4 linked regions of the Alligator mississippiensis genome follow. The protein of the gene in region 3 purifies or fractionates together with the protein of the main gene of each other region. This does not show direct contact. Links are inferred from orthologs where the notes say so. Each region holds a gene or a part of one and is shown on either strand. Other genes may lie near its edges.

The links.
Region 1: the proteins of MAP3K7 (region 3) and IRAK1 purify together in Homo sapiens (affinity purification with western blotting; 5 studies listed by BioGRID). This does not show direct contact. The link is inferred for Alligator mississippiensis from reciprocal best matches to the Homo sapiens genes MAP3K7 and IRAK1.
Region 2: the proteins of MAP3K7 (region 3) and RIPK2 purify together in Homo sapiens (affinity purification with western blotting; 4 studies listed by BioGRID). This does not show direct contact. The link is inferred for Alligator mississippiensis from reciprocal best matches to the Homo sapiens genes MAP3K7 and RIPK2.
Region 4: the proteins of MAP3K7 (region 3) and CARD11 purify together in Homo sapiens (affinity purification with western blotting; 3 studies listed by BioGRID). This does not show direct contact. The link is inferred for Alligator mississippiensis from reciprocal best matches to the Homo sapiens genes MAP3K7 and CARD11.

Annotation. Positions count from the first base shown.
Region 1 is NC_081831.1:28,784,298-28,791,302, forward strand, and holds the start of IRAK1 (interleukin-1 receptor-associated kinase 1), read left to right. Parts: upstream 1-3,999; 5' UTR 4,000-4,090; coding exon 4,091-4,205; intron 4,206-5,191; coding exon 5,192-5,359; intron 5,360-5,768; coding exon 5,769-5,936; intron 5,937-6,013; coding exon 6,014-6,123; intron 6,124-6,498; coding exon 6,499-6,666; intron 6,667-6,988; coding exon 6,989-7,005.
Region 2 is NC_081826.1:47,120,866-47,128,274, reverse strand, and holds the start of RIPK2 (receptor-interacting serine/threonine-protein kinase 2), read left to right. Parts: upstream 1-4,393; 5' UTR 4,394-4,436; coding exon 4,437-4,615; intron 4,616-7,409.
Region 3 is NC_081824.1:77,998,332-78,005,189, forward strand, and holds the start of MAP3K7 (mitogen-activated protein kinase kinase kinase 7), read right to left. Parts: upstream 3,005-6,858; 5' UTR 2,642-3,004; coding exon 2,552-2,641; intron 697-2,551; coding exon 607-696; intron 1-606. UniProt on the Homo sapiens protein: Serine/threonine kinase which acts as an essential component of the MAP kinase signal transduction pathway. Plays an important role in the cascades of cellular responses evoked by changes in the environment.
Region 4 is NC_081836.1:51,790,105-51,797,331, forward strand, and holds the start of CARD11 (caspase recruitment domain-containing protein 11), read right to left. Parts: upstream 3,003-7,227; 5' UTR 2,987-3,002; coding exon 2,857-2,986; intron 2,635-2,856; exon of another isoform or gene 2,342-2,634; coding exon of another isoform or gene 2,329-2,341; intron 1-2,328. UniProt on the Homo sapiens protein: Adapter protein that plays a key role in adaptive immune response by transducing the activation of NF-kappa-B downstream of T-cell receptor (TCR) and B-cell receptor (BCR) engagement.

The sequences.
Region 1 (7,005 bases), on a different chromosome or scaffold from region 3:
GCTCTGTCATGGAGTTCACTGGACATAGGCGTGTACGTGGGGTCAGATCACAGACTGCCATGCGGTTCCCTGGATATTGGGGTGCACATAGGGTCACACACAGGCAGATGGGGCCGTGGGGTTCCCTGAGTATCTGGATGCAGGTGGGAGTCACAAGGGGTCAGATCATGGACAGGCTGTGATGTGGGGTTTCTTGGATATTGAGGGTCACATGGGGTCAGATCACAGACAGGTGCAGCTGTGGGGTTTTCTGAATACCAGGGTGCAGGTGAGGTCACACGGGGTCAGGGCATGGACAAGCCATGATGTGGGGTTCTCTGGATGTCAGGGCACACATGGGGTCACATAGAGTTAGATTATGGGCAGGCCTCTCTTTGTTAGGGTGCAGGTGGTCACAATGGGTCAGATCATAGGCTGTAATGTGGGGCTCCCTGGATATTGGGGTGCAGGTGGGGTTGTGGGGTCAGATCATGGCCAAGCTGTTCCAGGGGAGGATATTGGAATGCAGGTGGGGTCACATGGGATCAGATCATGGATAGGCTGCAATCTAGAGTTCCCTGCATGTTAGGGATCATACAGTCAGATCCCAGGCCTCACTGTGGAGTCCTCTGGCTATTGGGGGCCATCATGGCAGGGCTATGAGGGTAACTCCATTTCCAGCTACCCCATCATGGAGCTGTGGCTGGGCACAGGGGGCTACTGTCTTACACTGTGTACTGGGAGACTGACAGCCCAGGGAAGGGAGGAGATAGTCCATCTCTAGGGCGGCCACACCCCAACTGCTCCATCCTGTGAGGCAAAGCTTTGCACTTTAGGGGGCATCTATCAAAGGGGACATGTCCCCCCCCACTCCTCTCAGGGCAGAGCTAGTTAGAAAACTAAGGAATGCTGAGGACTTAACTCCTTCCTGCCTAGCACCTTTCCCACCCAGGGTGATGGAGTGGAGACACTTGGCACCCATTACCTTCATGGTGGGGTGGAGGGGAGTTACCTGACATCCATTACCTTCATGACAGGGGGGATTACTTAGCAGCCATTACCTTTGTGGTGGGGCAGAGGAGAATTGCCCAGCACCCCTTACCTTCATGGCAGATTGGGGAGGGGGAGTTACCTGGCACCCATTACCTTCATGGCAGGGCAGAGGGGAGTTATCCGGCATCTGTTACCTTCATGACTAGGGGGTTACTTGGCACCTGTTACCTTCATAGCAGGGTGGAGGGGAGTTACTCAGCACCCATTACCTTCATGCCGGGTGTGGGGACGGGGCATTATTTGGCATCTGTTACCTACATGGCAGGGCAGCCCTGCCTACCGCTCCATCGCAGTCAACAATAGCAGCCTGGGGGAAGGGGGGGGAGTACCATTCTTCCACACACTGGCCCCAGGTGGCCACTTCTGGGGGGTACTGGGTGGGGGGAATGGGGAAGGCCCCCAGTCCCACTGATGCAATCAAACCCCTCCCCACAACCACCACATTCCCAGCTTCCAAGCCTCGGTATTCATTGTTCGACCAAATATCACCAGGACTGTTATCATCATGCACACAGAGCTCCCTCCCTCCATCGCAACCACGTGCTCCTGTGGGCTCCTCCCCACATTTCGGAGCTGGCCCCTGTGATGGGAGCTGTATACAGCAGGCTTAGCTCCCTCTCTTCTGGTCTACAAGCTCCCTCTCCTCTGGTCTACATATATATTCTGCACTGGTCCCATGTGCAGCTGTCCGGCCCCTCCCACTGCCACGCACACATAGAGGGGGACTCCTAGGCCATGGCTGGGGAGCCATGGCTGTCATCATGGAGAGCTGGGCTTTTGGGGGGCCTGGATGGGGTGGAACCATGCCTGGGTGTAGAGGAGGGGCATCTGCCCTGCTGTGACCCCTAGGGACTGAATTCCAACTTGGGAAGAGACCCCCCACTCTCAGCTAAGGCCTCAGGGGATCCGGATTCCACCCCCCAGGGGGAATGGGGAGATTGCAAGCAGCTGGGGATCCCCCATCCATGCTCATCCACTCCAGTCCCATGTTGGAGTCTGTTGCTGGAAGGGGTCATTCCCTGGGAGGTTGAAGCAGTTTATTAAAGGATGGAATTTGTATCATTTCAGTAAAAAAAAAAGCGACAAAACCCCCCCAAAAAAGATACCAGCGGGGGGGGGGGGGGGAGCAAGGCCTGAGACACCCCCCTTCCCCCGAATGTACCTGTCTGTGTCTGCTCCCCCCCACCCCACCTATTTATTCTGGGAGAGACAGAGAGACACTGGAGACATTTGCCTTAGCCATGTGTGACTGGAAACAGACCCCCTCCCAGCTCAGCACATGCGTGTACATGGCTGTGCATCCCCCTCCAACAAGTGGGGGGGAACGTGTCACCCACATTTCCCCTTATCTTGGGGCCTAGGCGTCACCTTTTTCTTTCTTCCCTCCCCATTTTGGTTCCTTGCCACCTTGAGTTTCTATCCCTCCCCTACCCACCAGAAATTTTGGACCCTGCCCAATTTTTGGACCTCCTTCATTTCTGACCCCCCCCCCCCCATGTAAAATTCGGTCCAGACTCCAAGCGCAAGTAACTCTCTGCATAGGTTATTTCAGTGCTATAATTGCATCTCTTGTTGGTAAGTACTGTATTCTGTGCTAGACTCGAGCTATAAATCTATGTACAATTAACCCACGGATGACTTCCTTGCCTTCATTGCAAAAGACCCCGCCCCCCCATGGGGCTGAGGGGCATCCACTCCCTTCACCATGCTGGAGAAGCTACAGCTAGGGTGGATTTGCTCTCAGCTCACTCTCTGGTGGGATCAAGCCATGGTCCTTGGGCCCCCAGGAGTGGGAATATGTCTAAGCTACTGGGATGCAAGGGAGACTGCAGTTTGCCTCTCCTGCCACACCCTGGATCTCCCCCCTCTGTGGGACACAGAGAGAAGCCAGGGGGCAGCCACGGGCACCCAGCAGTGAGGTCCTGATTGTGAATCCCTTCCCTACTCTATCAGGCCACACTGCTTCGCCAGGGTAGGATAGAACCCAGGTATCCAGGTCCCCCGCCCCTCCCCACTGTAACCCGCAGACCCCCACTTCTCTCTAGAGGTGAAATAGAGCCCAGGTGTCCTGGCTCCCAGATCCCCAGACCCTGCTTCTCTTCAGGGCTAGGATAGAACCCTGATGTCCAGGTTCACAGTTCCTAACCTGCAAGACCCTGCTCCTGTCCTAGATCTTCCATAGAAGCCAGGCCTGAGCTCCTGAGCTCCCAGCTCCCCATTCTAGCCCACCAGGCCCCGCTTCCCCCCAGAACTGTGATAGAACTGGGGTGTCTGGGTACTAACCCTAAGCAGGAAACCACAGCCCGAAGAAGTGGAGAATGGGATCCAGGGGCCACCATGGGGTCGTGTCTGTATTGATGACATAATGCTGCACGTGGGAATGATGTTAGTGCATGAGATCACCTGGGGAGCTGGACTGGGGGCATCCCTCATGATGCCATCATCCTGATGACATCACAGACCCTCACCCATCTATAACCCAAGCTCTACTTAGACTACCCCAGCTGCTGCCCTAGTCATAGCTCCGTCTACAAGCCCCTCCCACCCCAAGCCACGCCCACGCCTACAGGCGACTCCCTTTGCTTTTTGTCGACTGCTCCCTCCCACTCCCAGAGTGCTTTGCGGGAGGAAGACTCTCGCTCATCTCCTTAGAGCAGCCAATGAGGTCCTTTTATGTAATAACGCCCCGCCCCTCAAGCTGCCACTTTGCATATGGCTCTCGGCAGAGGTTTCCTTTCCGCCACACTCAAGATGGCGACGGGGGGGGTCCCTAGGCCAATGCGCTTATAATAGAGGCGGAACTTCCGCCCTTCCTAAACTGGCGTCGCGCCCGGGTTTCTCTCGTTCCGCCACGCCCCGAATGGCACTGCCTTTGCCCTCCACGCTATGTGGGGGCGTGGTGGGACTTAAGATTCACCACACTCAAGATGGCGTCACGAAGCGGGGGTGGGGGGGGGGCCTCTGGAGGCTAGAGCGCATGCACCTGCTGGGCCGTTATGGTCACTCTTAAAGGGGAAGTGATTGGTTTTCTGGGGCGGACCGGGCTGGATCGGGTGGCATGGCCGGATCCGGGCCTGGCACCGGACGGTTCTTGCATGAGCTCCCGGCCTGGCTCATGTGTAGCTTCTGTCGCCTGATGGACGCATTGGGTCGTGCGGACTGGGAACGTTTCGGTAACTGTTGCAAAGTAGGAGGAACTGAGGCATACTGGGAGAGACTGATGGGGACTGGAGTATCCTGGGAGGGACCTGGGAACGACTGGTGAAAACTGGGAGTGACTTGGAGGACTGGGAGTGACTGTAGGAGACTGGTGCATACTGGGAGAGAGACTGACAGTGCCTGTTGGTGGGCTCTGGGACATCCTGGGAGGGGGGCTGGAAGTGGCAGGGGGGGAATGGGGTATACTGAGAAGAGGACTGGGAGCAAGTGGTGAGAACTGGGACTGGAACACACTGGGAAGGCAGTTGGGAGTACCTGCTGGGGACTGGGGCAAACTGGGAGCAGCTGGTGGGGACCAGGAAGGACTGGGATGTACTTGGGAGGAGACTGGGAGTGACTGGTGGCACTGGGGCAAACTAGGAAGGGGAGTAGGTGAGGTGGGGGCATCCTGGGAGGTTACTAGTAGCAACTGTTGGAAACAGAGGACTGCAAAATATTGGGAAGGCAACTGGGAGCAACTGGTGGGGACTGGGGCATACTGGAGGAGAGACTGGGAGTGACTAGCGGGGACTAGGGCACCCTGGATAGGGAATAGGAGTAACTGACGGGGACTGGAACAAACTGGGAGAGAGTTGGAAACTGGGATAGGGGCATGGAACACTGGGGAAACTGGGCCAGTCAGGGATGTCCAGGGAGTTCAGTCACTGGAGCATACTGATATGTACCGGGGAGTCACCATGACATACTAGAGCCTGCTGGGAGGCCTTGTGGTCTCCTGATGCATGCTGGGAGCTAGCTGAGGTCCACTGGGATGGAAGGAGCCTGGAGGGCAGCATTCACTGGCCACTACTGGGACATGCTGGTTTATACTGGGTGGGATATAGGGGAGTCAGTGGCTATACTGGTTTATACTGAGAATGGACTGGTGGGTGGGGGCACTGCTGGGGGAGGCTTGTAGCAGGGGTGGAACCTGAAGCCCCGCACCCTGCCCTGCCCCCAGCTTCCAGAGTGGTGCGGGACCAAGTGGAGCTTCGGCTGGCGGGCACCAGCGAGGGCCGGACACAGCGGGTGCTCTGGAGCTGGGGCCACCGCAATGCCCGTGTGGGCGACCTGCTTGCCTTGCTGGGAGAGCTGGAGTTGGACTGGGCCCATGACCTCATCGCCAGCTGTGAGAGCCCCACTCCACCCAGCCCACTGTGCCCCTCATTACTGACCTTTATCTCCATCCTTATACCCCAGAGGGACCCTTGCTCAGCCTGCAGCTCCCCTGCATGTTGGTGGCCCTCAATCCCAATCCACAGCCTCACTTATGCTCTACAGTGCCGCTCACTTCTGACTTGCAGCCCCCGCCTATATCCCCCAGGGTCCCTGGTGGGCAGAACCCTGGTTGTGGGGGGGGGAGGGGGGGGAAGGAAGAGCTGTGGGGGGTCTCTGGGGGAGAGGGGGGAATTTGGGGGAGTATTAGAGGGTGGGGAGCTGTGGGGGGCTCTGGATTGACAGGAGGAATTGTGGGTAGAGCAAGGGAGTCTCTGTGGGGGCTATGGGAACCTCATCTCTGGTCCATTATTTCTTCCCAGGGCAGCCCCCTCCCGAGCCATGGACACGCCTGCCCCACAGCACCTCCCTGGCCCCTCCCCTGCCATCTGTGCCTCTGCCATCCGTGCCCCCTGCCCCCTGCAGTACTGCTCGGACCCTTCCCTGGGACCCGCCAAAGGCTCTGCCCGTGCCAGTCCCACCCCTTCCAGGTAACTGCCTCTCAGAGTTTGGGGGAGGGTGGGGGTCACCCCCTGCCCCCTCAGTGACTTCCTGCCCTGCCCCCCAGAGCCATCCTGCCTCTCGTTGCCCCTCCCTGGCCCCCCACCCCGCAGCCTCCTCAGCACCAGCAGCCATGACACCGTGACCTCTCCTGACCCTGTGACTCTTCTCAGCCAGGTAAGGGGGAGGGGCTAACTAGGGGTGTGGGGGGATGGCCCTTGGGTTCTTCAGGAAAGGTGGGGATGAGGGTGCTGTACCCAGAATGCCTTGCTCTCTGGCTCAGGAGGGCTGTTCCCGAATCCTTTGTGCTCTCAGACCCTGGGTTCCTGACCCAGAATTCTGGGGAGGGGGTGGGGGTGGGGCATAGCAGTTATAACCATAATCCTTTGCTGTCCTGCTCTGGGTCTATTACCCAGAGTCCTTTGGGGTGGGTCCTACCCATAATCCTTTGGGTAAATGGAGTCTGGGACAGGGGAGAAAGTTCTTTGCTGCCCTATTCCCCAGAATGCTGTGCTGCAGTGAAGGGAGTGGGCTATGTGTTTGTGCCGCCAGGTCCTGCCACCCCCAGGGTTCCCACGTCTCCTGGCATGGCCCCTGGCAGAGTTGGTGGAGGCCACGGGCGGTTTCTCAGAGCAGCACAAGGTGGGCGAAGGTGGCTTTGGTTGTGTCTACCGTGCCCGGCTGCGGCACACGGATTGTGCTGTCAAGCGCCTCAAGGAGGTGAGGGGGGGCTTCCCGGTATGCTTTGCGCTGTCCCATCTTCTACCTTCTCCCCAATCCATAGGCCCCTTCCAGGCATCCTTTGCGTTGCCTGCTTCTCTCTCTTGTGTCCTCTCCCCAGCATCCTTTGCACTCTCTAGTCCTTGACCTTCCTCTCTGCCCACTATAGGCCCTTTTTTCAGCATCCTTTGCACCAGCCATTATCTTTCCCTGAATCCTTTGCATCTTCTGCTCTTCCTCCTCCTCCCCCCCCCCCCAGCCCTTTGTAGTGCCAAGTCAGGGTGACCCCTGTTCTCTCACTAACTTCCCCCCTGCCCTCCAGGATGCAGAGCTGAACTG
Region 2 (7,409 bases), on a different chromosome or scaffold from region 3:
GCCCCACCCAACCTTGCATCCTATCTCTGTAAATGAAAACAAAAATACTTTCCTCCTAGGTTCCCTCGCATTTCTACCCACTCCCCCTCCCTGCCTCACACCCACGACATCCCCTTCCCTCTTTCCTAACAACCCACCAACCCATATTTCCCTCTCTCACAGGCTGTTCCCAAAATCCCACCCCTCCTACCCTTCCCCCAAAAGAAACACATTATTTAATTTAAACAGTTATAATGAGAAATACAATTAAACCCCCTGTTCCCACTGAAGGGAGTACCAAAGCATCACAGCATTTGAGGTAGTTCCCATTCTAAATGTAATGAATACAAAAATTAAGATGAATACCTTGGTGTATTATATACATATTTTTTATGAGAATGTTTTACATATCAAAGCACAAGCAATAAGACATAATACAATATTACTTGTATATAAGTAGAAATCTATACATGCACATTCAGGAATATATTAAAAATGAAAGATGAAAAATGATTGTCTCCATAGCCATGACATTCTTCTCTTCACACCCCTACTGGGAGCTACCTTAAAGGAGTATGTCTATATTAATTCTTCTCTACCCTGGGTTATTCATACATATAGAGGGCTAGGCATGTCCGTGATTCACTCTGCCCTGCACTCTATTCCATTAATTTATCGCTGCGAGTCCATGATATCTGTTAAAGTACTATATATGTTTTTAACTTTAATAAAAAGGTGAATTAGGAGAACTATAGTATATTTGCTAAATATGCAAATACAGGCCCTGATACCTGTACCAGTAAAGAGAAGCATATTAATAAAGTGAATAAGGAAAATAAATCTTTGCGGTAGTAGGGCAACTGCAGATAAATTCGATTCTTAATCTTTTAAAATTGCAGTATACAGAACATTTCTATAGAAAATAAATCCATATTAAAAAATGAAGTCTCATGGCACTTGCCTTAGGACTGTCCCTGTGATGTGCTGGTATTTGCAAGTGGATATTTCTACAGCAAAGCTGAAAGCAGCTGGAAGGGAAAAGAAGGGAGAGTTCACACTCATGACTGCTGGGGCCCAGTTTCCAAACCACATCCGGTCTAACTCAAATGAGTTCCTTGGCAGTCACCACTTACCCAATTTCTACTGTTCTGTCTAGTGGTAAGGGTTGGGGAAAGAAGAGGGAATCTGTCAAGCAAAAGTGGCAAATTGCAAAGGATTCCATATGGACAAAGGCTTTGCCATCTGCCTTTCTGAAGGCGATGAAGACTGAGCTGTGGCACCCTATTTTGGTTCATAGATGTAGGGTCAGAAGGGACCTGAGCAGATCATCAAATCTGACCCCCTGCCCTGGGCAGGAACGAATAGTGGGCTTACATGACCCCTGGTAAATTTAAGCTCGTATGACCCCAGCTAGGTAATAATCTAGCCTCCTTTTAAAGACCCCTAAGGTAGGAGCCAGCACCACTTCCTTAGGAAGCTAGTTCCAGATCCTAGCCGCCCTGACTGTGAAGTAGTGCCTCCTGATGTCTAGCCTGAACCTGCTCCCAATCAACTTGTGGCCTTTATTCCTTGTTACTCCAGGAGGTGGTCGGGGGAACAGGGCCTCACGCATTTCCCTCTGGTCCCCCCTGGTAAGTTTATAGACAGCTACTAGATCGCCTCTCAGCCTTCATTTGTGAAGGCTGAACAGGTTCAGGTCCCATAGCCTCTCCTCATAGGGTCTGCCCTGCTGCCCCCTGATCATGCAAGTGGCCCTCCTCTGGATCCTCTCAATGCTGTCCATATCCCTCCTGAAGTGTGGCTCCCAGAACTGGACGCAGTACTCCAACTGCGGCCTGACCAATGTCGCATAGAGGGGGAGGATCACCTCTTTGGACCTGCTCATGCTGCATCTGTGGATACATGACAAGGTGAGGTTAGCCTTACTGACCGCATCCTCACATTGGTGGCCCACGTTCATTTTAGAATCGACAATGACTCCAAGATCTCTTTCTGTCACTGTGCTTTCGAGAAGGGAGTTCCCCAGCCTATAGGTATGCTGCTGGTTATTTCTGCCCAAGTGCAGTCCCCTGCACTTGTCAGTATTGAATCCCATCCTATTCACATTTGCCCACCCCTGTAACCTGTCCAGGTCCAGTTGTATCCTGTCCATCCCTTCTAGCTTGCCCACTTCACCCCAAATCTTGGTGTCATCAGCAAATTTGAACAAGGTGCTTTTCACCCCCTTGTCCAAGTCGCTAATAAAGAGATTGAACAGTGTGGGCCCGAGGAACAAGCCCTGGGGGACTCCACTGCCCACATCCCTCCAGGTCAATTGTGACTCAGCCACCACTACTCTGTGGGTGCAGCCGCTCAGCCAATTTGTGACTGTGTAGGCATCAATGCCACACTCGCCTAGCTTTTTAATGAGAATGGGGTGGGAGACAGTGTCAAAGGCCTTCCTGAAGTCCAGAAAGACTACATCCACCGCGACACCTGCGTCCAATGATTTTGTGACCTGATCATAGAAGGCAATCAGGTTGGTCTGATGGGACCTGCCCCTAATGAACCCATGCTGGTTGCCCATGAGCATCATCCTCCCTGCTGGTCCCTCTCAGATGTGCTCCTGGATAATTTTCTCAAAGAGCTTCCCCAGGATCAAAGTAAAACTAACGGGCCTGTAGTTGCCTGGGTCCTCCCACCTTTTTCTGAAAATTGGGACCACACTGGCCTTCTTCCAGTCTTCTGGCATCTGGCCAGAGCACCATGAGTGCTTGTAAAGCTGTGCCAGGGGCCCTGCGATGACCCCTGCCAATTCCCTCAGCACCCAAGGGTGGAGAGCATCTGGACCTGCTGATTTGAACACATCCAGCCCCTCTAGAAGTTCCCTAACTCAGGTCCTCCCTGACCCCAGGCCTGATGGAGTCTCTCCAGAGTCCATCCTGAATCCTGGTATGGAGGCAAAGAATTTGTTTAAAAGGTCTGCTTTTTCATCTGGTGCAACTACCAGATTGCCAAGCATATCCTGGTGTTTCCTTCTCCAGTATTTACACATGATCAAAATCTAGAATCATAGAAAAGCAGGGCTGGAAAGGACCTCTCAAGGTCATCTAATCTGCCCTTCCCTTCCCCTCCCCCAGGATCATCCCTAACCAAGCAGCCTGTACAAACCCAAATCTAATGTGCTACAGAAGGAGGCAGAACTGCACCCCCCCCCCCCCAATCTGTATCAATCTAACTATGGGCTAAAATTCCTTCCTGACCCCCAGGTTGGTGACTGGTCTGACCTTAACCAGAAGTGCAAGACCCTCTAGCCAGGCCTACTTGAAGCACAAAAAGAGCCTGGGCATGTGCCCACACAAGAACAGTTAGCCCCACCTGTTGTTAGGGGGAGCACCAGGTGTGTGCCAACTTTGTTCTGGGGGCAACTTAAAAGAATAACAGATGGGAGTGAGGGGCAAAGGTTGATAAGTACTCCAAGAGGGACACTGAGCAGAGCACATTGGCTAGCACCCACTGGAACGAGCCCAAGAAGCCAGTGGATACTGCCCAGCAAAACTCTGCCCCAAGATGGGACCAGATGAGAGGCCCTGCAGCATCTGGGGGCATGAACGCCTCGTGCCTCCTGAGGCTGGAGGGGCAGTGACCACCCACAGGCAGCAGCGCCGGTGGCAGGGCCTTTGCAGTGGCGAGCACAGACCACCTGCAGGCAGCCACGCTGATGTTGCAAGCAAGGGGGGGCTGAGCAGGGACCACCCGCAGGTGGCCGCAGCGGTGTTGGTGGCGGTGGGCAGTGCCAAGTGCTGACCCATGGTCGGTGACCGCCCCCAGATGCCACCGGCAGTGTCACTGGCAAGGGAGGGTTGTGATGAGCAGCAACCGCCCGCAGGCGCACCCAGCACTGTTGGTGGCCGCCAGACTGGGGGGGTGCATGTGCACCCCCTATGTGTCACCAGTGGGTGGGGGTCCTCTGGGCCAGGGCCTCCTTCCTAGTCAGGTAGCTGGCAGCTGGGCCAGGGCCGGAAGGAGGTTGACCAGGAGGTCCCAGGACTTGGTAGGGGCACGGCTGGGGAGGCCATCAACAAAAAGGTGCAGGGAGTCGCCTCAGCAGGTGGCTGTGGTGAAGGCGGTGAAGGGGGCACAGCCTGGCGCACCCCAGGCAGGCGTGCGGCGGGGCAGCTGTGGGGGTACCCACGAACCACCCCAGACACGCTGCTGGCGACGGCTCCGTGGAGGAGCTGCAGGCCCAGGCCCCCCGGGATGGGGCTGCGGGCTCCCCTGAGGGTGCCTGGGCACGGCCGAGCGCCTGGAGCCGGCGGTGGGACAGCCCTGTGGCTCCAGCCCCGCTCCGGGGGCCCTGGGACAGGAGCAGCCCGGACGGGGCGCGGCGGGGCCGCGGCGAGCGGAAGCCGGAAGCCGGTGCTGCCTCCCCCCCCCAGCCCCGCCTGCGCGCGGGTGCAGCCGGGCCGGGCGCGAGGATGAGCAGCGGGGATGCGCCCCCCGCCATCAGCTGTGCGCTGCCCGCCGTGTCCTCCAGCAAACTGCCCGACCTGCGCTTCCTCAGCCGCGGCGCCTACGGCACCGTGTCCGCGGCCCGCCACGCCGACTGGCGCATCCCGGTGGCCGTCAAGTGCCTGCAGGGGCCGCTGCTCGACAGGTACCGCCATCCGGGGCCGGGGGTGTGCTGCGTGCCCGGCTCGCGGGGGGCGGCAGCGCTGAGCGGTCGCGGCCTCTTCCCCGTCCCACCGCAGCAGGGCCCAGCCCGGGGCTCCCGCCCGGGCCTCGCCTTCCCCTGCTCGGCCTGCTGCTCTGCTCTGCTCCGCCGCACCCCGCATGAGGCAGCCCTGGGACACACGTAGCTTGGCCGGCCCTGCCTGCGAGGAAGGGTGACAGCCCTGGCGGTGGCCCCGTGGCCTCTTTCCATCTGAAGCTGCTCAGAGTGGTCCTTTCAGATCACTTCGCCGGGCCTGCCCCCCCGCCCCCTCCCCCCAGGTCCAGTGGTTCACGGGTGTAGGTTGTAGCCACGCTGGGGCAGGCAAGGTTGTTTGGGTCAATCAGATATCTTTTATTAGACTAACATTGTTGGAAAAGTTCATCTTGGCAAGCTTGGTTCTCCTGGAGGAGTAGGGCTGGCCGGGACCTGCAGGGGCCACCTAGTCCAACCCCCCCTGCCCTGGCTTATTATACTCTTATTCTTGCCTCCTTATATTATTTTTCTTAATTGAATTGCCAGACATTGGTTAGTTGAGTTTTAGCTGTTTTAGTTTTGGCTGCCTGGGGTACAGTTAGTGGCTCAGTATTGATATGCCCGCTTCTGTCTCTAGGTAGGTCGCAGCCTCCGGCATCTCAAGTGCTGCCCGGTCAAGTGCCTTTTAAGTCACCAGCTCAACTTCCCTTTGAGCAGAACCAGACGCTCTCTGACTGTGGCTATGAGTGGTTACAAATCCTTCGCCCTACCCCCCTTGCCCACACAGATGCTTTTGCAGGGGTAGCAGCAACCTTTGGCCTACTGAGTTTCCATTTAGGCCAATTGATGCACATAGGCTTTGGGCAAGGCTTACAAAGAAACTCTGAGCTCTCTCCTGTTGTTTTTGGGGATCACTAACCATGCATAAATAGATTGCAGGGCACAACAGAAGGGAAAACGAGTGGGGTTTGGGTTGATGGTTACTAACAAGTGCTCCAGCTGAGCAGAGCTCACTAGCCCATGCCCACTGCTCTCAAACGAGTCAGAGGAGCCGGTAGACACTGCTCAGTGAAACTGCCTGGAGACATGACTGGCTGAGGGACAGGAAGACATCCCTGGAGTCATCAGGGGTCTTGCTAACCAGAAACTCCTTCCTGGTCTGATAAATGGCTAGCAGTTTAGCTAGGGCCAGGAGGAGGTTGACCAGACGTTCTCAGGACTTGGTGAGGCCATGGGTGCAGGATGCGGAGTTTTCCTTTTGGCTTGTTTGATGTGCCAAAAAAGCTCATGGACCATAGCCCATTACGAAATGTATACGCCTCTCATTAAGAAGAGAGGCCACTGAGGACACATCAACTAAACGTCGGGGACAACAAAAAAGAAGTCAGGAACAGAAATGATGTCATAAGTTAAAAACTAGGGCTACAAAAGTGGACACCAAACAGCACACTGGCTTGGCACCCACTGCCCCCTGAAGGAGTCAAGGGAGCCTGTAGACACTAACCAGTGAAACTCCATCCAGAATTGTGAGCGGAGGAGTGCCAGGAAAGCAGCCCCACACTCGCCTGGGTTCCTCCCAGCCAGAGCCTCTTTCCTGGCCTTACAGATGGCCAGCTTGGCCAGAGCCAGGACCAGGTTGACCAGGAGGTCCTGGGACTTGGTGGGGCCATGGGTGGGGAATGCAGAGTTTTCCTTTAGGAGCCTGTACATAGTAATAGTATGTGGTGACCCAGAAGCAGCTTCTCTAAAACAAAGTGTGATTGGCTTTGCCAAAAAGCACACAGTACTTTAAAATGGTACTGAAAATGAGAGTCCTACATGCATTCTGTTTTACCTGCTTTCAGCTTTTGTATCGTTCCCATAGATTAGCAGGCAGCAACCTTTTCTGGCTGCCAGCCAGAATGACCCACCTCAGTGCGTCTTCCTGTAGGAGCACAAGGACAGCTCCCATTGCTGAGGTGCCTGCCTGCTGGATGCCACCCAAAGCTCCACATCCACAGGCAGGATCCAATAGCTCTGTGAGCCTGATCTGGCCTGTGAGCCATAGGTTGTTGATCCGTGCCCTAGGTAGAAAAGAAATAACTTGATGTTGTGTCCTCTGTTACAGCATGCTTGCTAACACTTTCCATGTTATCTGAAGAAATCAGTGTCTTTTAAGAAAATCATTGTCTTCAGATCTTCCTCTTCTCACCCTTGGCATAACAGCTTTGTGCCCTGATTGTGGCTAAGTCCCTCCTGATGGCTATAAACTCAGGCACTTTGTATGTAGTGATATTCTTTATTCAGGAGATGGTTATTCAGGCACCTTCTCTGCCTGGCTTCTTTAACAACCTCTTCAGATTTAGCGTAATGCATTTAAGCAGGATATGTCATAGAGGTGCATTGAGAACAGGATGATATTTCTTCAGTTCTCCACACTGTCTGAAAGCACATGGAAATTATTTAAAAAGTTAGGAAATGACTCGAGATAAGACAAAAGTTATCAAAGCAAGGAACTCCCAATCATGTGATATAATATGCTAAATATTAGAAACTAAGGACAAGTTATTGAGTGTTTCATCATCCAAACTCTTGCCACTTCCCTTTCACATATGTAAACATGCTTGGCTCTTACCTTTGAAAACTTACCACAGTAATGCCTGATCAGAGTTCAGTCAGAACTCATCCTTTTTTTTGCCTCACTATGGTAAATTTGCTTCTTAATGTTTCTAAATGCCATGTCATCCAAAGCAAAGGTGACTCACCCCTTCAACTTAAAAAAAAA
Region 3 (6,858 bases):
TTGCACGCAGTACTCCAACTGCGGTCTGACCAGTGCCTGATAGAGGGGAAGTATCACCTCCTTGGACCTATTCGTCATGCATCTGCTGATGCACGATAAAGTGCCATTGGCTTTTTTGATGGCTTCGTCACACTGCCGACTCATGTTCATCTTGGAGTCCACTAGGACTCCAAGATCCCTTTCCACTTCCGTGCCACCCAGCAGGTCATTCCCTAGGCTGTAGGTGTGCTGGACATTTTTCCTCCCTAGGTGCAGCACTTTGCATTTCTCCTTGTTGAACTGCATTCTGTTGTTTTCTGCCCACGTGTTCAACCTGTCCAGGTCTGCTTGCAGCTGTTCCCTGCCCTCTGGCGTGTCCACATCTCCCCATAGCTTTGTGTCATCTGCAAACTTGGACAGAGTACATTTCACTCCCTCGTCCAAGTCACTGATGAAGACATTAAAGAGTATCGGTCCAAGGACAGAGCCCTGCAGGACCCCACTGCCCACACCCTTCCAGGTCGAGACCGACCCATCCACCACGACTCTCTGGGTGCAACCCTCTAGCCAATTCGCCACCCACCGGACAGTGTAGTCATCCACGTCACAGCCTCTTAACTTGCTCACCAGTATGGGGTAGGATACCGTATCGAAGGCCTTCCTGAAGTCTAAGTATACGACATCCACCCCTCCTCCTGTGTCCAGGCGTCTCGTAACCTGGTCATAGAAAGAGACTAGATTGGTCAGGCACGATCTGCTTGCCATGAACCCGTGCTGGTTTCCCCTCAGCATAATTTTTCCTGCCGGGCTCTCACAAATGTGAGCCTTGATAATTTTTTCAAAGACTTTGCCAAGGATGGAGGTGAGACTGACTGGTCTATAGTTGCCCAGGTCCTCCTTCCTCCCCTTTTTAAAAATGGGGACCACGTTGGCCCTTTTCCAGTCCTCCGGGACCTGGCCCGTGCGCCACGAGCGTTCGAATATTCCCGCCAGTGGCTCTGCAATGATGTCGGCCAGTGCCTTCAGCACCCTCGGATGGAGCTCATCCGGGCTTGCCGACTTAAAGGCATCCAGTTCTTCCAAGTGACTCTGCACCATCTCAGGGTCTACGCATGGAAGTCTGGCGCCTTGCTGCTGTCTCTCTACAACCCCAGTGAGAGACGCACAGCTCTACAGAGTATCTACAGATACAGTATCTACAGAGTATCTACAGCTACGCTCTGCGGACCCCAATTGCAGCTGCTTGCAGCCTCCCCACTGTCTGCCACAAGCAGCCCAGGCTCTGGACAGGCCCCTGCTGCCTATCTAAGAGCCCGAGCTGTTTGCGGCAGGCAGCAAGGAGGTTGCAAGCCAGTGTACTGAGGTCCGTGGAGCTTAGCTACTAGGTACTAGTCCCCCCCTAACCCCCGCACCCCACTGCTGTCCACAAGCAGCCTGGGGGTTGCCATACCAAGTAATCATGTAACTGTTGTAATTACAACAGGTTAAACGGATATTTTCTTTAATCAGTATTTACAGCCCAAATGCACATAATGTATGGTGTATGCATGCTGTACACACTACCACAGGTTTCCTTCGCTTTATGCTGTACATGCATTCCTGGAAAACGGCACGTAACTTGATTACGCATACAATGTAACAGATAGGGATACGTTCCAAGACCTAGACTGTACTGACCCTCAGACCCATTTCTACCACTTTTACAAGACAACTGTGGTACTCACCAACAGCAGACAGTACACACAAGCACAGGGTGGTGGTGAATGTTACCATAACGGGGATGGCAACTACAGAGACACCTGTCGCAGACAACGAGCGAAGAGCACTGATCCACATAAAAGACTATATTTTGGTGTGCGTCACTCCCACAATGCACTGCAAAGCAGCTGACTGCAGACTTCCACCACACCAATTGCATAAGAGTGAATTTACCTTGCATATAATGAATTTTTGGTATAAAAAGGGTCATCGTGTAAGAGCGAATTCACACATACAGAACCTCCATAAAGCGAAGGAAACCTGTATACTCCATATAGCATATACTCACATATCTCTCACACACAGATAGGACAGCGGTTTTCAACCTGTGGTCCATGGACAACTGGCGGTCTACAGACTTATGTCTAACAGGTTGGTGAATGAGCACTACGATCTATCAAAAGTGTCTGAATACCCCCACTTAAAACTGCGGGGCTCTGCACCTCCATTCGAAATTTTTTAGGGGTCCACAAGTGAAAAGAGGCTGAAAGCCAGGGCTCAGTGCATTGCCCATTGGTCTCCCTGGTTGAGAATTGCTCTTTTTGGGGAACTTGTGGGAATCTAATGAAGTCCACCCTATCCCCGGGAACGGGAGGGCTGTCCAGGGGCCTGGCACAGGCCTGTCTCACTTGGGGTGTCCTCCTCCTTTACTCCACTTCTCCCCCAGCCCCCCACCAGGGCATTTAGGCCGCACACCTTGCCACCTGCCTGCTCCGGCCCTCAGGCTCTCCCCAACCCGCTCCCTCTCGCCCAGAGGGGCGAAAGCTGGAGGCCGCCCCTTCCCCGCGGGCCCCGCACCCGGCCCGGCCCGCACCTCCTCCACGGTCATCTCCTTGTAGTCGATCTCCTCGAAGTTGAGCACCGGGGGGGTCTCGATCATGTCCGCCGAGGCGGCCGCAGACATGCCGGGGCCGGGCCGGGCCGGGGCGGCGCGGGCTCAGCGGGGCCGGGCCGGGGCTGGCGGAGGCGGCCGCATCCGAGGCGCTGGCGGGCGCCCGCTGCGCTCCGCCGGCCTAGGCCGCGCCCGGGGCCTGCGGCTCGCGTTGCCTGCGAGGCCCCGGCGGAGCGAGTGGCGGGGCCGGGGCTCGCCGCCTCCGCCAGCCCCGGCGGGGCTGAGGCGGGAAGGCGCCGCTCAGAGCCGGGAGGGGGGCACTCGGCAGCTGCCGCTAAGGCCGCCGGAGCGGGGCCATGGCCTGGCGGCGCCGCCTCCTCCTCCCCCGCGCTCGGCCCGGGAGCCCCGCGCAGCGCCTGGTACCTCCTCCTCCTCCTCCTGCCGGGGCCGGGCCGCCAGGGGGAGCCGCCGCCGCCCGAGCTGAGGCAGGCGCCGAGGATGCCCCGCCCGCCCCGCGCTGGCCCTGGTCCGCAGGGAGGCGGGAGGAAGGTCCCGCCACAGCAAGGCCGGCTCTAGGCTCCCCCTCCCCCACTCGTACCCCCTTGAGCCCTACGGAGAGACACAGCTGTCTGCAGAGGTTAGGGAGCGCCCTCAGATGTGCGCGGCTCCCCGCGCCTTCTCCCGACGGCTACAGATAGACGTGGCTCTATAGCCTGAGATGGAAGGAAGTGTATCGGGATGTGTGTGTTTGCACACACACACACACACACACTCTTCTATCTGTAAATCTATTTGTAGATGTAAGGAAGTGCACTGGGATGTGCGTCTCTGCACCCCCCCCCCCCCTTAAATCTATAGATAGGAAGTATCTCTCTAGCCTGAGATGGAAGGAAGTGTACTGGGAGGTGTTTAACCCCCCCCCCCCGCCTTAGCTCTATAGCTAGAAGTAAACACACACACACACCCCCTTAGATCTATAGGTAGAAGCACACACCCTGAGAGGTCTGTAGATAGAAATATCTATCTGTAGATGTAAGGAAGTATACCTGGCTGTGCATGTCTGCACCCCCCCTTAAATATATAGATAGAAGTATCTCTCTAGCCTGAGATATAAGTAAGTGTACTGGGATGTGTCTACATGCCCCCCTCCCCCCCCCCGCCCCCTCCTTTGATCTATAGATAGAAACACATACACATACCCTTAGATACATACGCCCTTAAATACCCCCCCCTTAGATACATAGAAGGAAATATCTATCTATCTGTAGACGTAAGGAAGTGTACCCAGATGTGCATCCAGACAGACACACACACAGCCCTTAGATCTGTAGCTAGAAATATCTCTCGCTGTATCTATAGATGTAAGGAAGTATACTCAGATGCGTGTCCAGACAGATACACACAGCCTTTATAGATCTGTTGATAGAAATATGTATCTATAGATGTAGGGAAATATACTCGAATGTGCATGTCTGCACACACAGGCACACGCACACACACATCTATAGATAGAAATATCTATCTATAGATGTAAGGAAATGTACATGTATGTGTGTCTATATAAACATACCTCTGTTAAATCTATAGATAGAAATAACTCCCTAGCTAGAGATGTAAGGAAGTGCATTCCTATGTGTGTCTACATACATACACTCAACCCCTCCCTCCTTAAATCTTAGATAGATATATCTACCTATGGATATAAAGGTAGCATACTCAGATGTGTGTGACCATACTCTTCCCCCTTCTTAAATCTGCTGGCAATAAGGGATTGCTTTCTTTAAGTCATATTTTCTTCCTTATGTCCTAGTATCTGCCTGTCTTCTAATATTTTTAACTTTAATGGTCATATGATTATAAAGAAACCTTGAAATGTGAACCACGTGTTACAGATAATATCACTCTGCTGGGTCGGCAAATAGCCTAAAAGATTAGTTCGGGAAAGTTGGCTGTTCTCACTCACACTAATGGGGTGTTAGCTCTGAAATTGAAGATGACAGTTTAAATGTCACTATTGATCAAACAACAAATATGTTATCCCATCCCAAAATGCTGCGTGGGGAATTCAATATCAAAATAACTAACACAAGGGCTAATGTGCTGATTGCATTACTTATTTTCTGATTTCATTAGAAGATTCTATTATTACATTTTAAAGGAAACTACCACTGCCATATTATTCTAGATTAACGCCAGTGAAATCAATGGATTTTTACCAGCATAAACCTAGAGTAACACAGTGGTATATCAGGCCCTCTACCGGCTTTTTTTTCTTTTCTCTGGGGTGGGAGAGACAAAGTAAAAGCTGGTGATCCCACATCTACCCTTTCTTGGCTGCACTAGCCCCTAATATCAACTCTAGAGTTTGTAAAAAGCAGCTGGAATTAATCACTTGCAGTCCATATAACAAAAGAGGGTTGTGTTTAGGTGATTACCACTGTATGGTGTTCAGGAGTGTGGTCTTAACCATTAGTCCATGTTAGCTTGGAAAGGGCTTTAGATTGTGAGGTACTCAAAGCATGGACCACTCTTTTTGGATAACAACTATTAACAAAATCTCGTTCTTATGAAAATCATAACAAGTTCAATATACAGGTAGTTCTCAGACTTACAACATAATTGGTTCCTGAAAACGGCGTCTTAAGTCGAAACGTAACTCAGAACCAATTTTCTCATAAGAAACAATGTTATAAATAGGGGATTGGTTCCTGAACCAAGGCCTGGTACCTTATTTTCACCAAAAATAACCCAGAATTTTGTATTCGATCAATTATAGATGAGTAGCACAGCTACATTAATGTATTTATATTGTAAATAGCAACATATTGATTTGGAAGGACTTCTCTGAGGTGACTTTGTTGGACTTTTTGAAGGGTTCTTGGCTGGAGTCTTTTCAGGAGTCTTGCCTGCAGGTTTTTCTGGAGCCTTGTCTGCTTTCTTAAAGAAAGCGTCCAAGGAAGTTTGGACAGATGTTCTCCAGGGAGATGGGTGACACAGCGACTTGTTCACTGTCATGGCGTCACATCAGGTCAAGCGTTGTAAAGTCAAAACTGGCATCAGAAAGTTGAAACAGTGTCAATTTATAAATGTTGTAAGTGTGAAACATTGTAACTTGAAACATTGTAAGTCGAGGGAGGGCTGCCTGTATACCTATTTCCAGATTCTTTTAAAATATATCAAAAGGCTTTTAAATACACTAAAAATATATATTCCTTTCCATAGCAATTTTTATCAGTGTTGTACAGATTGTTGACACAGCTGTTTAATTTTTCTACTCTGTACCACTTCACATTGCTATGAGAGCAGAAGAGAATAGTGTTTTAAGTGTTCGATACTCATACTTGAGGCCAGATTTTTAAAGGAGCCCAGTACCTACTGGTTCCCATCATGAGATTGATGGCTAGCTCTTCAGAAGAGCCAACATGTTGATCAGTTCTCAAATTCTGTCTCTAGATCTGTTGCTTTGTTCCATGGCATGGTTTTACTTTCTTGGACCTATGTCTCCATTGTTTTTTATCTGATCTTCTATATTGGCACAAGACACTCAGATGACATTGGAATAACAACTGCATTTCATAACATAATTTAAAGAGATGAAAATTTAGCCAAAAATAGAAACAAATGCAACCCTCCCCTACAAAACAAATGGGCCAATAGTTGCCTTTTTCAACCCATTCTGATTACAAGAAGCATATTTAGATTACCCTGTTATATTATTTTAAGCCCTAAACACTGCTCCCTCTGATTAATCCAAGCCAGTAGCAATCTTATCAATTAATCACAATTTATTGTTTAGTAAAATGTCTATTTTGGAATATTTCTCCTTTCCAGAAACTGTAAGGCTACTCCCTAGACACCTTTTGTTGTTTTTGAAAACACATATTTCAAAAACACATTTCCTTCCACAGTTCTGGCTTACTGCATAAAGCCATTTACGTTATATTTAATTTCTAAGGCTAACTGAATCTGAGGAGTGAGTCTTCCTGCATATAATGTCCTATGAACATTATACAGTAGTGATATTCATTTTGTTCACAAGCTAGAACATGGGTTTGTGGGATATTGAGAAAATGAGATAATAGTAAGATTAATGGAAGGTTTGGCTTGTTTCATGACTCAAAGGCCTCTTTTGAGAATACATATCAAGCAAATTCCAGTTGCTGCCAAGTATATTTTTGCCCTGTTTTTCTTCTACAGTCATGCTACCTTTATTTTTTGTTGATGAGAGCAAGGAACACAAAGGAGAGAATTCCAATTATAGTTGTTTGTAAGGTTCACTTGCTTTCAGA
Region 4 (7,227 bases), on a different chromosome or scaffold from region 3:
GAGGCCAAAAATCAGGTCCCTTATGACCATGCAACCGTAATAATTTCAGTGAAAGTACTGCCCATGACCAGAGGAGATTGATATCTTAGGCACTGAGGACCTGTCTGAACCAAGACAAGAATAGACGGGGGGCAGCAGGTTAAAGAGTGGCTGGTTTGTCCTTTCTCAACCACAGGAACACAGGATCAGAGGAAACCCTCACACTCACAGAAGCCAGTGTCCTGGTATCACCTGGCCTATTTGTAAGTCCTCTTGTGCCTATCTTGTCCTGCAGCTACAGAAGCTCTTTCTTCTACCCCCTTTTAAGTGGGGAGCGTGGCCTGTCAGGGGGTGCACCAGCGCTCTCAGGGAGTGCACATGCACCCCCATGCGCACCATATGCATCGCCACTGTCTTAACCTGAAATAGTCTGGCTTATAGAGTACGAACCTTCAAGATGTCAAATTGAAGAGGTTTCTTCTTAGCCAGAATCCAGCCTAAAACTGCAAGTGTGACTCAGGAGACCACACCAGCTGGTGTCACTGGATGTAGCTTTTACTCCTGTATCTAGATCTTTGAGACTAAGCAAAACAGTGCAGAAGAAAACAGGTGGGCTCTCCAAAGCTGAACTGCCACAAGGTCTTTGTAAGAGTGGTGCCCATGCCACTGCTTTAGTAAGGAAAGCCTTCACGGTTGGGATGTGATAATCCAAGGGATTTAACAGGACCAAAATCTCTTGGAGGTGATGAGAGCAGAAGCTCTTCTATAGAGTATAGAGAGGCCAAGATACAGTGAAGTCACTTTCTAGTTTCTATATTATTGAAACATTTCTTGGTCAGTGGCAGAAGGAAGTGACTTCCTCTCTTCTTACCATTTTCCCGGGACATTTTGCACTAAACGATTCCCTTCATCTGCCCACCACCCACTCCAAACACTCAGCTCTGAGCCCTGCTGCAACCAGCAGAACCTGCAAAGGAAAGAGGAAGCACCAACACTGCAGCATTTCCTCCAACTCCTCTGCAAGTATCAGTGGGGATGCTGAGACAGCCTGAGACAGCTTACAGCTGAGCAACCTCCCCGCGGGCTCCTATCCCCAAAAGCAGGGCAGCCTCAGGAGTACGTTATAGTGGGAGCTACAGGAGAGAAACTGCTGCAAAAAATCTAGGGAAGCCAATGGAGAAATGAGCAAACAATGAGAAGCCTGGGGATGGGCGAGACGGGGAAAATGGACAGAGAGACTAGATCAGACCTTGCAGACAAGTGGGAGGAAAGACCTGGGAAGGATGAAGGACACAGAGGGAAACTGGGGGGAAAGCAGAACACTTGTGGGGAGAGAGCCATATCAGAGGCTGCACCGGCGTGCAAATGTGAGCAGAGATGTGGCTCTGGCGTGTTAAGGGAGGTGAGAGATAAGGGAGGTATGAGAAGGCCGCATATGTGTGTCGGTGTGAGAGAAAGTGGGGGTGGCAGGAGGCTGTTTGTTGTGCACGATGGGCTGTGGGGGTGGCCCCATGAGTGCGAGCTGGAAGGAGCCTGCAGGCATGTGCCAGTGGTTATCACGGGGCAGGAGCTTCCTGAGCAGATGCTGCAAGTGAGGATGGGGATGCAGGGAAGCAACAGGAGCACGGCAGGGTGGTATTCTGGGGGGAGACACCAGCAGTGGTGCAAGGGTGCTCTGCAGAGCGGGCAGCAGCGTGGGGGAGAGATGGGGGGCAGGAAATGGGAGTGCATGTGAGAAGCCACTGAAGAGATGGGAAAGGGGAACACAAGAGAGAAAAGGAGGAAATCACAGAGGGGGAAGGGTGAACAATTATGCATGTGGGGGAGAGGTAGCTAGCCAGGACAGTGTGAGGTCAAGATTGAGGTGCACTTTATAGACTAACTAAATCAGCGATGCAGCTTAATGGAAAATGGACAAAAAGGTGGTGAGAAGCTCCTCAGAGACACACCGCGGCCAAAGGAGGCAGAGCCAAGGAAGCGGGAAGAAGCAGTACGCAGGGAGAACATGTTCAGAAAGATGCTACTGCTACCTAGGAAAAGCGTGAGCCCCCAGCAGACAACGCATGGGGAGCCCGAGCCAGTCACTGTCCTCCCCTTCCTCCTCACCCCTCGTGACATTTTGTTAAGCTCTTGCCCCTACGACTGTGGGCCTGTTTGCTCCTTCTCTGCAACCCGGGCTTCAAGTATCTGTGTCTGCAGAGTGGAACGAGACCTGTGGAGCCTGCACAGACGTCTGCGAGCAAAGACATTAACAAAGAAAAAAGAGTGAAACTGGAAGCTGCCAGGATCAGGCAGGTGCTGTCCCTGCTGCCAGTGGGGTGGTGCTGGCCTTTGGGCCGCTCTCCTTACCTTGGGTGCTCATGAGTGACCGAGCTCGCGGCTGGGCTGCAGCTGCTGCAGGGTGAAGCTTGCTAGGTCGCCTCCATGCACTCGTCCTTTCCCCTCCCCAGGAGCTCCAGCGAGGTGAGCCGTGCAAGGGAAAGGGCCAGGACTCTTTGAAGAGCCAAGGGTGGAGGGAGGAGAGGGGGGAATGGAGAGACTCAGGAGGCAAACGCACCAGTGTCGGAATGAACAAAGGGCGACACAGAAAGTAAGAAAAAGTGTGTCAGAGGCTGGGAGGGGCGAAGGAGGAAAATGCAAAGATCTGACAGGAAACCAGACTATAAATCGGCTCTTGGTTTGAAAAAAAAAAAACAACCAACCATTCTGCTCCCTAGTGATACTGGCTGCTTGCAAATGCCTCTGCACGCAGGTGAGAGCAGAGCCCAGGGACAGCACAGCAAGCAAAGAAAGGGACTTCTATCCTCAAGCCAGAAAGCACCCAGGTAGCCTCAGCAGCTGCACAGCTCCAAGTCCAAGACCAGGCAGAAGATTTACCTTGCCTGCCCGGCCTCATAGCTGAGATCCTCTGCGTCACCCAGTCCTCACAGCCTACAGCCTGCTCCCCTTCGATGCAAATGCAGAACTGCTGAATAGCAGCACGCAGGTCCTGCCCCCTTCCTAGCATCAAGCGACAGCCTTCCCTGACCACTGTGCTGCCCAGGGAGTGGGCAGGGGAAGGAAGGAGGGGGCAGGGAGAGGGAGGAGCCATCCACAGTGCTCCCTGCTCTGCAAAGAAAGTTCTCAGAGCAGCAGTTTTAGGCAGGGGAAGTTGGCATCTCCATCTTTCCCAAGCATTTCAGAGGCCTCTCCGGGTGCTAGCCAAGTTATTGACTCTTCTTACTGCTGTTTCTAAGAAAGGGAAGTTAAGTGTGGCAATATTCATCCAGGTTTTTTTATTTCATTAGGTTATTGGTTTTTTTCCAATAATGTTTTTCCAAAGAACAGTCTCTGTTGGTATCACTAGGCTGTGGAGCCTTGCCCTGCAGAACCCACAGAGGCTGAATGCGGGGCTGAGGGCTCAGGGCCAGACCTGGGCCAACCTACATGCAGGGGGTCACAGTGGACCTCCACCATCCAGCACACAACTAAGAAGCTTTTTACCGGAGACACAGACAACTTGGGGTGCAGGGGCCTTTTCCTCCCTCTCCTTCCCTTCCCTTGCTGCTGTTTGTGAGAGGCTCACACCCAGCACTGCTGCCCCAGCATCATGGGCTTGCCCTGTGCCCCTGGCTATGTCACACCTGGCCTGCTTGCCCACCATGACTTGATGTGCCAGAATGACCCTGAACTTGCCTGGATGTGATCCAGTGGTCCTCTGTGAGCTGGATGTGACTGTAGATGCGTCTTCTGTAGGACACCTTCTCCCCTACACCCCTTCCCTTTCCATTCAGGTGTTTTTGCTGTTTGTTCAGACATCGGAGGCATTTGTCACACGGGCTGCCCCCACAGTGTTAGGCTGCAGTTTGGGTCTGTCCTGCCTCGGGTTAATGTAGGAACATAAAAGAATGACAACTAAATAGATAAAATAAACTCAAAACAGCTCAGCTTGGCAGCCAGGCAGGGCACTGGTGCCTTGCCGCCCCCAGCTTCTTCCCCATTTTTGGGGTACAAGTTACTCCAGGCCTTATGTCTTCTTATTGGGCCCCTTGTGCCCCTTGGGCTGGTGACCTGCCGCAGTATTTCTTTGGTGCTCCCGGTGGGCACCGTACTCACTGCAGCCCCACGAGCCTCCTTCAGGTGAGGCGCAGCTAGCTCCTATTCAGGTGAGGCTCAGCTACTACGTGGCGCTGCACCCGGCCTGTGCCTGCTTCCTTTCCCGAGCACCAAGGAGAGCGTTCCATTCTTCAGCAGTGGGGAGAATAGCCAGACCCGTTTCCTGTCCCTCGGCTGCCATTCCCTCTTACCCCCTTCCGGCACCCTTTTGGCCCATCGCCTTGGGGCTCCAGGCTAATCAAGAGTGCACTTCTGGCTGGCACGGTGCCAACTCAGCCACATGGGCTCCATGCATCCGTGCCACCGTAGGCCGGTGAGTCAGGCAAGGGACTGTCACACTGGCCACCAGCTGTGCTAGGCCAATACTCAGCACTAGAGTCCTATCCCTACTGCCATCCTCCCACAGGCATGCCCGAACAGAGCCCCTCTGCAGCTGGTGAGCCCACATTATGCTGCCACTAGTGTGGCCTCCACAGATGCTGATGTTCTTCCATCAACACCTCAGCAAGGCCCATGGACCCAAGTGACACACAGACACTTCACTGAACTCTGCAGCTGGAGTAAGGTGGGGAAAGAGGAAAAAGGAGCCTTTGGAAGGGGAGGGTGTGTATGTGCCAGGGTGGGGATGGGGGAACAGGCATAGGAAGAGAGAGAGAGAGAGTGCGTGAGCACACGCATGTGTATGTGTATGTGGTGGGGGGAAATAAGAGATGCTACAAGAGGGGAGAATTCAAAAAGACTGGGAATGAGGAACATAGCTGGGAGAAGACAGATAGTCAAAGAGTTGGTGGGGATGGGGAAGGGTGTGGAGGGAAGTGGGACGTGGGGATTGAAAGAGAGACCACAACACAGGTGTGAGGATGGTGATGGAGTGGGAGGAAAGGAAAGGAAGGAACAGTTGTTACACTGCAGAGGAAAGCACAACAGATGGGAAATAACAGTATAAAGACAGTAGACAAGATACCTAGAGATACATCAGGGTCAACGAAGATGGAGGGAAAACAGTGAGATGGGACCATGAAAAGAACAAATGCAAGAGAAATCGAGTTTTACCATTGATCTGAGAGCTTATATCCCAAACAAACAGGTGTTTTCTAAAAAGGAAGCGACTGTGTATCTTGTACTGAGATGGCTACATTTCCTTAGCGCAGTGCTGCTGGCCAGCCCAGCCACTTGCCTCTCTCCCAGGCTCTCCCTGACCCTGACTCCCCACCTTGGAATGGGCGCAGCTGTGTCTTTTTCCTTGGTAGCTATGGAGCAGATGAATAAGTTGAGGCAGTGGAAGGGAATTCATGAAGGTTCAGACTAAAGCAGAATCCAGCTCTCCAGTTTAAAAACACGGTAATTAGTTTAATACATATAGCAAGAGTGAAAAGCCAGAAGGATGCAGGAGTTCCACTTTTCCGAGAAGCACAGAGCATGTACACACAGCCCACGTTATCCCTGTGCGCTCTTGTTTTTAATGAGGGCTGCTCACTGAGGTGCTAATTATATTATTGCAGACATCTCACAAACCTTGCCTCGTTAGCCCATGATAAAAGCCATGTGCTTAGTGGGTGGGTGTGCACTTACAGGCAGGAATGAGGAGGGGCTGAGCCGCTGAGGCTACGTCTAAAGAACAAACTTACTGAGCCAGGGTGCTGCTCTGGGCAGATTGCTCCTAATCTGGAAGCAGTGTGCCTCTGTCCTGGCAGTGCGGTAGGCAGACAAATGAGCACTTCTGAGCGACAGTGACCATTAGCCTGCCCTGTGCTAACTCGCAGTGGTGCCATGTGGACACAGCTCCGCTGTTGCTGCTGCTTAAAGATACAGCTTACCCGAAGGAGCACGGCATGGTGAGGGCACTGCTGCCAGGCATAGTAAGCTTATCAAGTTGATGCAGCCTGCGGATGCTTCTTTCTCTGAGCAGGCGGAGGCCTTTCCACATGACAACTGCACAGATGGTGTTTTGCAGCTTTGAAGGAAGTGCAGCCATCAGAAAGGGGAAAAGCCAGGAAGGAATACCCAGATACCTTTGAGAAAAAACAATGCCACAATATGGCAAAAACTGAGGCCACCAGCACTCACCTCATCACTGTTTCACACCTGTTTTTTTTTCCCTGGAGAGGAAGCTGACATGCATTTGCAGCACAGGAACAATTTGCAGCACAACTAAGGAGAGGAGCTAGGCTCTTAGCTGGCCAAAGGCCCTACAACTCTAACTTCCATTTAGAAACCATATAGGTAAGAGTTGAGACTCCCCACACACCTTCCACTCCTTTGTGAAACTGCTACTCCCTCTCCCTTGCCCCCAGAGGAAGAGGGTTAGAGATCTGGTAAGTTGAAAACCACTGGGCAGTCTCCTTCCTTCTCTGAGTTCTTGGATAATATAGGTCAATGTAAGGTTCAAGAGGCAGAGCTGAAGCTCACCCTGGACTCAAGCAGGGAATTAGACGTTAGGGCTGTGCGAAGCTTTGGGTGGTGATTCAATTCAGAGGAGATTTGGCCCAATTCAGTGGCTGAATCTCTGAATCTGAATCAAATCAGGGGACCAATTTAAAGGTCTGAATCGATTCAAAACTCTCTGAATCTTCGGGAAAGATTCGGAGAGCTTTGATGATTCAGGCAGTCCCCGGGGGCTGCAGCAGGGAGCTGGAGCTGACTCCGAGCTGGTAAGTACTAGGGACAGGGGAACGCGGGCTGAAGGGAGCGGGGAGGGGACCATGGGGGGACCTCTGATAGCCCCCCCGACTTCCGCCCACTCCCCAGCCCCCCAACCCCCGCCCATTCCCCCAGCCCCCACATGGCTGCCCCCACCCACCCCAGCTCAGGACTTTGAATTGGGACAGTGATTCGAATCACCGAATCGAACCACTGTCCCCCAAAATCGGCTGAATCCGAAGCGATTACTAGCCACTTCGCACAGACCTAGTAGACGTGATCTGTCCCTGGTTTTGTTTTGTTCCCAGTGTGCTGGTAAGCAAATGAACAGCATTTCAAAGACTACATCTTAATCAGTCTTACGGACAAATTAACCAAGTGCTGATGCTTCACTAACTTTAAAAATCCTGTCACTAAAATGCAAAATAACCTAAAATTGGCTTTCATAAAACCTGGAAACTAGGGCTGTGAGAAATTTTGCCAGGTGTTTCGTTTCAACACAGTTTCGACCTT